Canis lupus familiaris: one gene and its partners. The protein of the gene in region 3 purifies or fractionates together with the protein of the main gene of each other region. This does not show direct contact. Links are inferred from orthologs where the notes say so. Each region holds a gene or a part of one and is shown on either strand. Other genes may lie near its edges.

Evidence for each region.
Region 1: the proteins of STX12 (region 3) and VAMP8 purify together in Homo sapiens (affinity purification with mass spectrometry; 3 studies listed by BioGRID and IntAct, counting the BioPlex papers as one, with this or other methods). This does not show direct contact. The link is inferred for Canis lupus familiaris from reciprocal best matches to the Homo sapiens genes STX12 and VAMP8.
Region 2: the proteins of STX12 (region 3) and GOSR1 purify together in Homo sapiens (affinity purification with mass spectrometry; 3 studies listed by BioGRID and IntAct, counting the BioPlex papers as one, with this or other methods). This does not show direct contact. The link is inferred for Canis lupus familiaris from reciprocal best matches to the Homo sapiens genes STX12 and GOSR1.

Annotation. Positions count from the first base shown.
Region 1 is NC_049238.1:39,847,224-39,850,970, forward strand, and holds the start of VAMP8 (vesicle-associated membrane protein 8), read right to left. Parts: upstream 2,324-3,747; 5' UTR 2,193-2,323; intron 1,685-2,192; 5' UTR 1,442-1,684; coding exon 1,439-1,441; intron 118-1,438; coding exon 1-117. UniProt on the Homo sapiens protein: SNAREs, soluble N-ethylmaleimide-sensitive factor-attachment protein receptors, are essential proteins for fusion of cellular membranes.
Region 2 is NC_049230.1:44,447,567-44,451,313, forward strand, and holds the start of GOSR1 (Golgi SNAP receptor complex member 1), read left to right. Parts: upstream 1-1,443; 5' UTR 1,444-1,570; coding exon 1,571-1,601; intron 1,602-3,747. UniProt on the Homo sapiens protein: Involved in transport from the ER to the Golgi apparatus as well as in intra-Golgi transport. It belongs to a super-family of proteins called t-SNAREs or soluble NSF (N-ethylmaleimide-sensitive factor) attachment protein receptor.
Region 3 is NC_049223.1:71,961,093-71,964,739, forward strand, and holds part of STX12 (syntaxin-12), read right to left. Parts: intron 1,771-3,647; coding exon 1,701-1,770; intron 174-1,700; coding exon 74-173; intron 1-73. UniProt on the Homo sapiens protein: SNARE promoting fusion of transport vesicles with target membranes. Together with SNARE STX6, promotes movement of vesicles from endosomes to the cell membrane, and may therefore function in the endocytic recycling pathway.

The DNA of each region.
Region 1 (3,747 bases), on a different chromosome or scaffold from region 3:
GTTTTCTCCTCGGGCCAAGATCCGCTCCACATTCTGGGTCATAATATTCTTGACTCCCTCCACCTCACTCTGCAGGTTCCGCACACGATCATTTCCAACACCTCCACTGGCCTCCTCCTGGGCAGCAACGCAGGGGTTAATTAGGCGAAGTGGTGGAGGAACTGAGACTCAGCCTCAGAGGCCAGGGGAGGGGAAGGCCTAAGGTGGACTTTAGCTTTTTTTTAATGCTTGAACTGTTTACAAAGAATGTTTTCATGTATTACTCATGTGATCAAAAACAAATGCACTTTTAAGCCCCAGAAGGTGAGTGCTGATGCTAGACAGACTAGATCCAGTTTCTTTTCAGGTTCTCAGGGCCCCTGAGGAGGAAAAGAAACACAGACCCTAAATCCCACTCCACTGTTGCCTTGCTCCTCAGATGGGGGCAGAGAACTGCTGAGCTGGCATCTCACAAGGGGGAAACCCACCACTATTAACCGAAGGATCCTCATTGAAAATATCTGTGCTGGCCAGCAGAACACCCTCAGCTGCCACAACACCCCCCTCACTGCTGGACAGCAGCTGGAGAGCTGCTCCCGCCCCAGACTTCCCCAGACCTCCGGAGCTGCCTAATTGCTGTGACCCAGAGCAACAGCCACCGGGTTCCAAGGCCCTGGCCAGGCCCCAAGAGGGAGAGCCATTGCGCCATAAACTTCTGCTTTCCCCCAACACACTGCCCCATGTGCCGGCACCAACCAAGCTGCCACTGCCTCCTTAAGCAGATATTAAATAAAAACAGCAGACTGGCTGTTGAGGGAAATGGAGGGCAAGTCCTCCCTGGCTGATAAAGTTTTTGAACAGGGAGGGCAAACCATTACTAGGCTCCTCCCTCCCTGACCCCCTAGACCTCCGAAACAGGCCAGGAGCCGGTCCAAACTAGACGGATTGTCACAGAGAACCAACTTCTGGTTCTTTTACAAACCCTTCGCCTTCTTCTCCGTGTTTAAAGAGAGGGGCCCGATTCCTTAGGCCGGGCAGAGAGAGACGGATTCTTGGAGTTTCTCGACAGGATAAAGGGAAGGGCCGACGGGGAGGGCTCCCGCCGCTGGGCTGGAATCCGCCCTGGGAACTTCGGAGGCGCTGCCCAAGGGGGGTCACCGGGCTCGGCGCCCGGCGGGCCGGAGGAGGCCAGGAAGGGCCTCTCAGCGGCTCCCGGCCTGGAATTCGGAGCCTCCACCCCCACCGGAGCCCCGCTCCGGGCCAGCTCCGAGGGCAGGGGAGGGAGAAGGCGCGGGGGCAGCCGCCCGGGCAGCCAAGTTGTCAAAGGAGAGCGGCCACCGGCTGCACCGGGCCAGCCCTCCGACTTGGCCAGCGGCCCTGCGACCCCCGCCCCCAGCCCCCCGCCCCCAGCCCCCGCTCGCCTTTCGCTCAGCCCCTCGCGAGCTCCCAGCGCGCTCACCATGTCTCCAAGCGGCTCGGGCCTGGCGGCGGCGAGACTCCCTCGTCTGTTTCCTCCCGGGCGGCCCTCGCTTCACTTCCTGCTCGCTCCAACTTCGAGCCTGCCCCCGCCCGCCGGCATCCCGAGCGGCTCCAGCCTCACCTAGCGCGGGCCGGCAGGTAGGCGGGCGCCCTCCGCTGCCCTCCCAGTCTCCTCCCAAACCTGGGCTCGGGCTTAAAGCAACAGGGCTCGATCACCAGAGATCTTCTAACGCATCAGAACCAGAAAAAAAAAAAAGAAAAAGAAAAAGAAGATCAAGCAGCCCTCCTAGGTTTCCTGAGGCTGGACCTCCTGATATAGATAGGGAAGCTGGCTCCGCCCCCCCCCCTTTTTTTTAATGTCCTGAATATCTGACTCCAAATCTTAAACACTGAAGTCAACTCTAAGTACACCACCAGGGGTAGTTCACATGGAAACAGAACACAGATATGAAAGTTTCTTGCTAGCAACCCCTGTTCCCATGTTCAGGGGTGGACAGAAAGTATTAAAATCCCCCCAAGTCTGGAGTGCTGTAATCCTAGGCTGTGGTGTCAGAAAGCTCCGGATTACTAGTGTGACCCTGAGTGAAATTCTTCACCTCTCTGGTTTTGGCAGGTGCTAATGCTGACCTCAGAGGATGGTGGGGACGTATAACAGGATAGCACACTCAGTGTGCCTGCCACAGTTTCTGAAAGGAAGACCTGTCCACTGTTGGGACGAGGGAATGATGGCTTACCAATCCCTTCTTCCCTTCCAGAGTTCAACATTTCCTTCAGAAGCCGCTTTGAGGGGTTGGTGAGCCTACTCAGAAATGGTCAGAGGCCTGCCCTATGGACAAGAGAAGGGCCCCAGGCAAAGGATTTTTCCACCACCTGGTTCCAGGCCACAGAATATCTAGTCTTCCCAGATGGTATTTATCAAGACAGAACAAAAACAGGGACAGGCAAAAGAGAACAAACATTCCTGTCCCATCCCAGAAGTATTATTAGTTCTTTTTTTTTTTTTTTTTTTTTTAGTATTATTAGTTCTAAGAGAGAAATGTCAGTTTCTCTAACACATATTTTGTTAAAGGAAATGACAATTTCTGGACCTCTGTTTTGAGATACTTTATTCTACTTTATAATGAAATCTTATCTCCAATTAAATAAGATTATTATATTTTGCAAATCTGAAATTTGATGGACAGTACCAGCCTACTTTCACAGAGAATGTGGCTGTCTCACTTCTCATCATCCTTAGAAAATCTATAAAGAAGAAAAAAAAAAAAAAAGAAAATCTATAAAGAGGTCAAGTGGAGATGGGTCAGAATCCTTGATCTGTACTTATGCTGTCCATTACCATAGCCACTGACCATATATGGCTGCTGAGCACTTAAACTGTGGCTAGTCTGAATTGAGAAGTGATGTAAGAGTACACACAGTATTTCTTTTTTTAAAAGATTTATCTATTTATTCATTTGAGAGAGAGAGCACAGGCACACATACATCAGGAGGGGAAGGGCAGAGGCAGAAGGAGAGAGAATCTCAAGTAGACTGCTCTCTGAGTATGGAACCCTGCACTGGGCTCAGTCTCAAAACCCTGAGATCAGTGATCTGAGCTGAAATCAAGAGTGGGATGCTCAACCCACTGAGCCATCCAGGCACCCCAAGTATTTCAAAGACTTTTTTTTTTTTAATTTACTTACTTGAGAGAAAGAGCATGAGGCAGGGGAAAGGGCAGAGGGAAAGGGAGAAGCCGGGAGCACAATCCAGGCTCAATCCCAGGACCCCAGGATCATGCCCTGAGCTGAAGGCAGACACTTAACTGATACTGATAACATGTTGAAATGATGTTGTGGATTTATTGAGTTAAATTTTAAAAATTGTTAATGCTCATTTCACCTGTTTCTTTTAATTTGATGAGTAGAAAATTAAAAATTACAAATGTGGCTCAAATTATATTTCCATTATAAGACACACTGATCTATGCATTAATATTCATGTGACCTTGGACAGACTGATGTGACATCTATAAACCTCAGTTACCTCACCATCTATGCCTGGCACTGAAACAACCCTCAGTAAATGGTGGCTATTATGATTACTATTATTAATGATTCCAGATGCTAAGTGCAGTGGTGGGTAGGGACATAGGATAGGTGCCAAGAAACAAAGTAGGATGTCTGAGGAGAGCATAAAGACATGGAGGAGGATTTCCAGAATAGAAATTAGGGTTACAGGAATGCCTGGGTGGCTCAGCGGTTGAGCGTCTGCCCTCAGCTGAGGGTGTGATCCTGGGCTCTGGAATCAAGT
Region 2 (3,747 bases), on a different chromosome or scaffold from region 3:
CCTGCATTGGGCTCCCTGCATAGAGCTGGCTTCTCCCTCTGCCTGTGTCTCTGCCTCTCTCTCTCACTCTGTGTCTGTCATGAATAAATAAATAAAATCTGCCTCTGCTTCTCTCTCTGTCTCTCACGAATAAGTAAATTTTAAAAATATTTTTTTAAAAAATAGAAATTACCCAATTTGAACAACAGAAAACAGACTGAAAAAAAAAATTAGTAGAGCCTCAGGGATATGTACGACTCTAACAAAAGATCTAGCATTCATGTCATCAGAATCCCAGAGGGAGAGGAAAAAGAGTAAGGGACAGAAAAAGTTTTAGAAGAAACAATGGCTGAAAATTCCCCAAATTTGGCAAATGACATAAACCTAAGAGTCAAGAAGCTGAGCAAATCCCAAACCGGATAAAACCAAAGAAATCCACATTAAGACACATCTTAATCAACTTTCCGGAAAGTAAAGAAAAAATCTGGAAAGCAGTACTTAGCTATAGTAGAAAAACAATTCAAAAAACAGCCAATTTCTCATCAGAACCGTGGAGGCCAGGAGGAATTGGGCACGTTTTTCAAGTGCTAAAGGAAAAAAAAAAATTGTGAACCTCAGATTCTACATCTGGCAACGGTATCTTTCAGGAATTAAGGGGAAATCAAGACATTATCAGATGAAGGAAAACGAGTCGAATTTGTCTCCAGCTGACCTACTCTTTAGAAACGGCTAAAGGAAGTTGTTGAAACAGAAGGGCAATGATACAAGAAGGAATCCTGGAACATCGGGAGGCAAGAAAGAAAAATGTTAAGAGTAAAGTATGGATAAATGCAGTCCACTTTCCTTCTGCTTTTGAGTTCTATAAATCATGTTTGGCAGTTGAAGCAAAAATTGTAACGTTATGTGGTGTGGTTCTCAATGAATGTAGAGGAAATCTTAAAGAGTCGTAAGTGGGAGTGGGTGAAGGGACAGGTGTGATTTAAACACCTCTGTGGGACGTAACTTTTCTACATTTCACTAGAACTGGTAAAATGCGGACACAAGCCAACTGCGATGATTTGTGTGTCTTTCGGGGCGGCTTTGGACGGCTGATTCCGACAGGTTGAGGGGGCCGGACGAGGTACACGGACGCAGTCGGCCGGGTAGGCCGCACACCTGCCAGAGCCCGAGGGATGCTGGAGCACCCGCGGAGGAGGCCGGAAGAAAGGGCTCGTCTTGGGAAGAAAAGAGCCTGCGGCGCCGAGAAGGGAAAGCGGTTGGCTGAACACTGGCGATGACTTTCTTCTCCGCCACGCTGGCTCCTGCTGAGAGAGGGGGTAAGCTGACCTGAGGGCGATGATGCGGGTTTGGGGCGCCGGAGAGGGCAGGAGCAGCACCAGGACAGACACTCAGGTAGTGTCTGGGATTAAAACTGGTTTCCAGCCCCATTGCTGAAGAGCTGTGAAACGATTAGTTGGCCGCCGGGGGGCGGTGTCCGTGGAAACTGACGTATCCCGTCGGCCCTGGCGCCGGGGCGGAAGAAGGTGCGGAAGTGATTCTCTGGCTCGCCTCGTCTCTACTCTCCTATCCCGACTGACGTTGGACAACAAAGATGGCTGCAGGAACCAGCAATTACTGGGAAGGTGAGGGCGAGGCTTCCGTGTGGGTCTCACCAAGAGGTAGAAGGGCTGGGTAAGGACGGGTCTTGGGGGAGGCGGCAGAGGAAAGAGCCCGGCCTCCGGAGCGGCCGAGCTGACGGGTGAGGCTTCTCTAGTGGGAGCCCCTGGCCTGGGGGCTGAAGAGCCCGAACGGTCTGGGGCAGGGGGGCTGAGCCGAGAGGCAGCGAGACTTGGGACAGAGGTGGGCGGAAGGAGCTGGGCGGGGAAGGAAGGTCCTGAGTCCCTGGGGGAGAGCGGAGTTGAGGGGCCAGGCGAACTTGGACGAAGGGGCTTGGGGGACGAACTCTGAGAGGAGACGAGTTTTGAGCGAGAATATCCCGACCCCAGGAGGCTGGAAGAGTCAGCGTTTTAAGAGTTGAGGTCACTGTTGGACAGCGGAGTAGGATAAGGGGAAGAAGGAACTTGTCAGTCCGGTCCATCGAGGGAAGTTCTATGGACGGAGTGTCTCCTCCTCGGTCCCTTTGGCAGGACTGAGGGCTGGGACTTCGAGGATTGGGTTTGGAGACTTCGAGTCGCGGTTTGGAGACTGAGGAAATAATTACCCTCTGCCGTGGAGATGGGTTTTATTAAAAAGCGAAAGTTGAGAGAACCAGTGTGAATTGCGGTGATTGCATTTGCTATATACCTCTTTAGCACCCCCCCCCCAAAAAAAAAAAAACCTGTCTTGTGATTTGACAAGTACGTTTATTGAATTAATGAAAATATGTTCCGATAGAGTGGGCTGTTATAAAATTCCCTCCTGGACCATGATGACGACCGAGGGTCAGAGAAGGCTCATCTGTTTCTTTCCATTGTCTCTCTGCTCTATTACAATGGGAGCTACTCTCCGAAGCCTCTTGGAAACCACAAGTAACAGTACTGTCCCCAGCAGCCAGTTAGTTGGTCTAGGAGCTTAGTTCGAAGTTCGTCCGTATTTGCCTTATTACACTTTCAGAATGCTTTGTATTGTTTTGGTTTGGTTTTTGGATGTTTTCTACTAGGGAGGACAGTTCTAGTTGCAGAGAAGCATGATTATAGTTTAAAACATGTATTTAAATGCCTATTTGAAATGTGTGTGCTAGATAGAAAATATTTTTAAGTTCTGTAGAAGCGGCTATTGGTATCCTTAATACTAGTCGTTAGGCTATAGTTTTTTGAAGCGCCATGTTGTGATAATTACAGCAGCTTGTTGTTGACATCCTACTCTGTGCCGAGGGCTTTAAGCACATGGTTACTAATGCATAGAAAAACCCTGAAGGTAGGGTCCTGGGATGGAGCCCTGCTTGGGCTGCTAGCTCAGCAGGAGTCTGCTTGAGGATTTCTGTCCCCCCCCCCCCCCCGCCCCTTGCTCATGCTCACTGTCTCTCTCTCAAATAAATAAATCCCTGGGTGGCTCAGTGGTTTGGTGCCTCCCTTCAGCCCAGAGCGTGATCTTGGAGTCCCCGGATCGAGTCCCACATCGGGCTCCCTGCATGGAGCCTGCTTCTCCCTCCGCCTGTGTCTCTGCCTCTCTCTCTCTCTCTCTCTGTCTCTCATGAATAAGTAAATTCTTTAAAAATAAATAAATAAATCCTAAAAACAAAACAAAAAGTGAAGGTTCATTGGTTCAGTAGATTTTCAATAAATCTCAGAGCCAAGTTCTCAAAATCTCAGGATGTTAGGATGGGATAAGATGCGGAGACTTGGTCTCTGGCAAAATATGTTCCACTGTGTTCTACTGCTTCCTACTTCTGGTTGCTGATAAATATATTGAAGTAATGTTTTGTAATCCTTATTCCTGAAAGATGAGGTCCTTATAATATTTCTTTATATATTTCAGCCCTTGTATTTTGAGGCCCACTTTACCATGAATGAAAGTATTCACATCTAGGGATCCCTGGGTGGCGCAGTGGTTTGGCGCCTGCCTTTGGCCCAGGGCGCGATCCTGGAGACCTGGGATCGAATCCCACGTCGGGCTCCCGGTGCATGGAGCCTGCTTCTCCCTCTGCCTATGTCTCTGCCTCTCTCTCTCTCCCTCTCTGTGACTATCATAAAATAAATAAAAATTAAAAAAAAAAAAAAAAGAAAGAAAAAAGAAAGTACTCACATCTAGATGTGGGTTTCCTGACTGGACTTCTCTCCCTCAACCACT
Region 3 (3,647 bases):
CTCTCTCTCTCTCTCTCTCTCTCTCTCTCTCTCTCTCACACACACACACACACACACACCAGAAAATACCAACCTGTTCTGAAGCAGATAAGGGAAGAGGCAAAGACCCTAATTCCTTCAGTAATTCATTTGTTTCCTTGGCGAGCTGATTTGTAGAGTGCTGTAACTGTTGCCTAAGAGAGAAAAGACATGTTTCAGGATATCCCCACTGCTAGAGAGCTGTTACAGTTAGTACCAGCTTGTTCTCAGAGTGCCTCACAGTGCAAGGAATAAAAGGGGTACCTCAAGGAATGGGTTCCCAGAGGCACAGGTTCACAAAAAGAAATTCTAGAAATACTACTCCGTCAAACCCACTTCATGTTACTCAGCAGAAAGAACCTGCCTCAGTGGAAATCTGCTGATTAGGTATTTTAACCTTGGGGAGAAAAGAAATGCCTATTGGCCATTCTGTTAGAAATATAAGAACAACTGCCCCCACATCTAAATCTAATAGTTTGAACACACTGAGGTCTCACAAAACTCATGTAGAATTGCCTGGCAGTGCTGCATAGCTGCTGTCTGTCACAGGCCACTGACTAGAGACAGAATCCAGACACTGGGAGTTGGATGAAATGTGCATTAAAAGCACAGCTTCTACCCTAGAGAACAGCCTCCAAAGATCTACTCCCACATTCTTGCTTAAAGCTGGAGCTTTTTCAGCTTTATTCTTGGCTCCCTATCGTCCTTCATGCTTGACTTTCTGGCTCTTCCCTCCAAAACAAAGAAGCCCTGTACTGTGTAAAAACACGTAAGGAGTATAAGGGGAAGAAAATGAAAGAGGGAAGAATATGCATTATATTCAGTGGGACTGGAAAGTAGTGGAAACACAAAAGAGCCCCTTTTAGTCATGGTTTCCTCCACTCTGTGGCCATTTCTACAAAGGTTTTAAAAAGAGGACAGAGAAACTACTACTTAATCATTATTATTTTTCCACTGCAAAGAGGCCTCCCAGATTAAAAAAAAAGGGGGGGAGGGGGTAGTCAAAAACAAGAGGGAATCAATCAGGGACCTGTACCTCCCAGAAATTACTAACACATCCAAAGGTTTTTCACATATCCCTGGAAAAAACCCCAAGTAGTAAGTCATTCTCTCACTTCACACTGTCTAGGACAGGAAACAATACCATTCAAGATACTTTAAAGATGAAGAATAGAACTTCTAAAAGCAGAAATGGGGTCAAGAAGGATCTAATAAAAAGAATTATGAGTCCCTACTACCAGTCCACTCTCCTCTCCCTCCGACACCCCTCATGTCATTCTGAATACGTTTCGCTAATATTTACAGTTGGAAATCCCACTAGACTAGATGTTGTCTGCAGATCATCTAGAGTCCTGTGCCAACAAGGAGGCTCATTTAGGCAGAATACAGTTTCATAGTGGTAGGAGTTCCCTTCTCTACTTCCTCAAAGTGTTCTGCTAAATTGCCCATGGGAAGAAAGAATCTGAGCTCAAGGATTTTGAAAGGCAGCAGAGATCACAACCCATGAATATATTTTGTTGCCCCTCTTCTAGATCCAGCTATTACTTCATGGCCTACTGCATGGCCTACTGCCTGTCATTCTGACTACACAGGCTGGAAACCCAAGCTGCCACACAGCAAAGATAGTAGGTGTGTCCTCAAAGGGCCCTCATAGAACGCAACCATGTTAGGAAGCTACTCACAGATTTTCCTGTAGTTTGCTTGAGTCCTGCTTAGTTCCTAGTTGGCTCATCAAATTCTTTATCTGAGCAGCTGGGAAGAGGGGGGGAAAGATTTATTTAAAAGAAAAATACATTTATCATGAGCATCCTAATTCTCAGATCACTAGTCTCTCTGCACATCCTGTATAAGTTCATGCAACTAAGAGAAAGCATGTTATGACCAAAAATTTGATATATATATTCTCTTCTAAAACTAATTACAAGGTTCACCTCTCTGCTATAGATAATTATGCCACCAAGTAGAGGATGGCAGTTTTGTTCATCATTCCCAAAGAACTTCCAAAATTTTCCAGATTTCCCATGGTGCTGGCTTAAAATTTCAACACCTTTGGAAGGGCCTTACTACCAAATATTAACTCATTACAATTAAAATTTAAATTCATAATATACAATAATTTTTCTATAGCAAACGCTTTTGTAAAGACAATGTACATTTGTTATTAATAATAAATTACGATTAAAAATAATAATAAATTACCATTAACTGAGCACCTGCCATGTGCCAGGAGACTTTTCTTTTTAAGATTTTATTTATTTCAGAGAGAGAGTGGGAGAGAGAGCTCACAAACATGACCAGGAGGAGGGGGAGAGTGAGAAGCAGACTCTGCTGAGCAGAGAGCCCAATATGGGGCTTGATTCCAGGACCCCAGGATCAAGACCTGAGCCAAAAGCAGATGCTTAACTGACTGAATCACCCAGGTGCCCCTGTCAGGAACTTCTATATTAGGAGCTTTAATACATTATTTTATTAATTTTCACAGCAACAGTCTGAAGTAAGTATATCTTCATTTTGCAGATGAAGAAATACATTTAAATAAGTTCTATAAGTTAAATTTACAGAAGTTAATTATGTAAGGGTACACAATAAGTAACAGGGCAAAAAATTCAATCCCAGATACACTGAACTCCATGTTCTTTTAACTATGTTGTCTACAAATACATGGTTTCATTCAGATAACATTCTCTGTCTTTTCCTAGATACTTTGCTAAGACTGGAAATGGTCATGTTTCAATTCTAGATGTTTAGGCCTCCAGCCCTGGACTAGGAAAGCAGAGGTCCAGAGGAACTGATCATCTATCAATAAGGGGAAACACTCTTAACACCAGCCTGCCTGGGAATATAAAAAGTCCTGTACCTCACTAATCTGTGCACCACAAATAGAGCATTGATTTCTTTTTTTTTTTTTTCTTAGTCTAAATATTTTTGGGCTTTCTGAGCTTTTTTAAAAGTGTAATTAACTTTTTGATTTCTTTTGTGTCCTGCTTTCTGTTCTTTTTCTGGTTGGCAGAACGATGAAGGAGCTAGATTCATTCATTCATTCATTCATTCATTTATAGAGGTTGGAATTTTGTTGTATTTTTTTGTTGATCTTTGCTTTTTTTTAAAAAATGTATTTACTTGAGAGAGAGAGAGAGAGAGAGAGAGAGAACATGTGCATATGGGGGTGGGGGGCAGAGGGAGAGAGAATTCCAAGCAGACTCTGGGAGGAATGTGAAGAGCCCGGAGTCTGACATGGGGTTTGATGCAGAGCTTGATCTCATGAGTCTGAGATCACGACCTGAGCTGAAACCAAGTCAGATGTGCATCTGACTGTGCCACTCAGGTACCCCTGCTTGCTTGCTTTTTTTTTTTTTTAATATTTTTTTAAAGATTTTATTTATTTATTCATAGAGACACAGCTAGAGAGAGAGAGAGGCAGAGACACAGGCAGAGGGAGAAGCAGGCACCATGCAGGGAGCCTGATGTGGGACTCCATCCCTGGTCTCCAGAATCACGCCCTGGGCTGCAGGCGGCGCCAAACCGCTGCGCCACCGGGGGCTGCCCTTGCTTGCTTTTTAAGACCATTCACTATCTTCTATTCCAAGTTGCTAGAATACAGAAAATAATAATAGAATACTCCTTGCCCA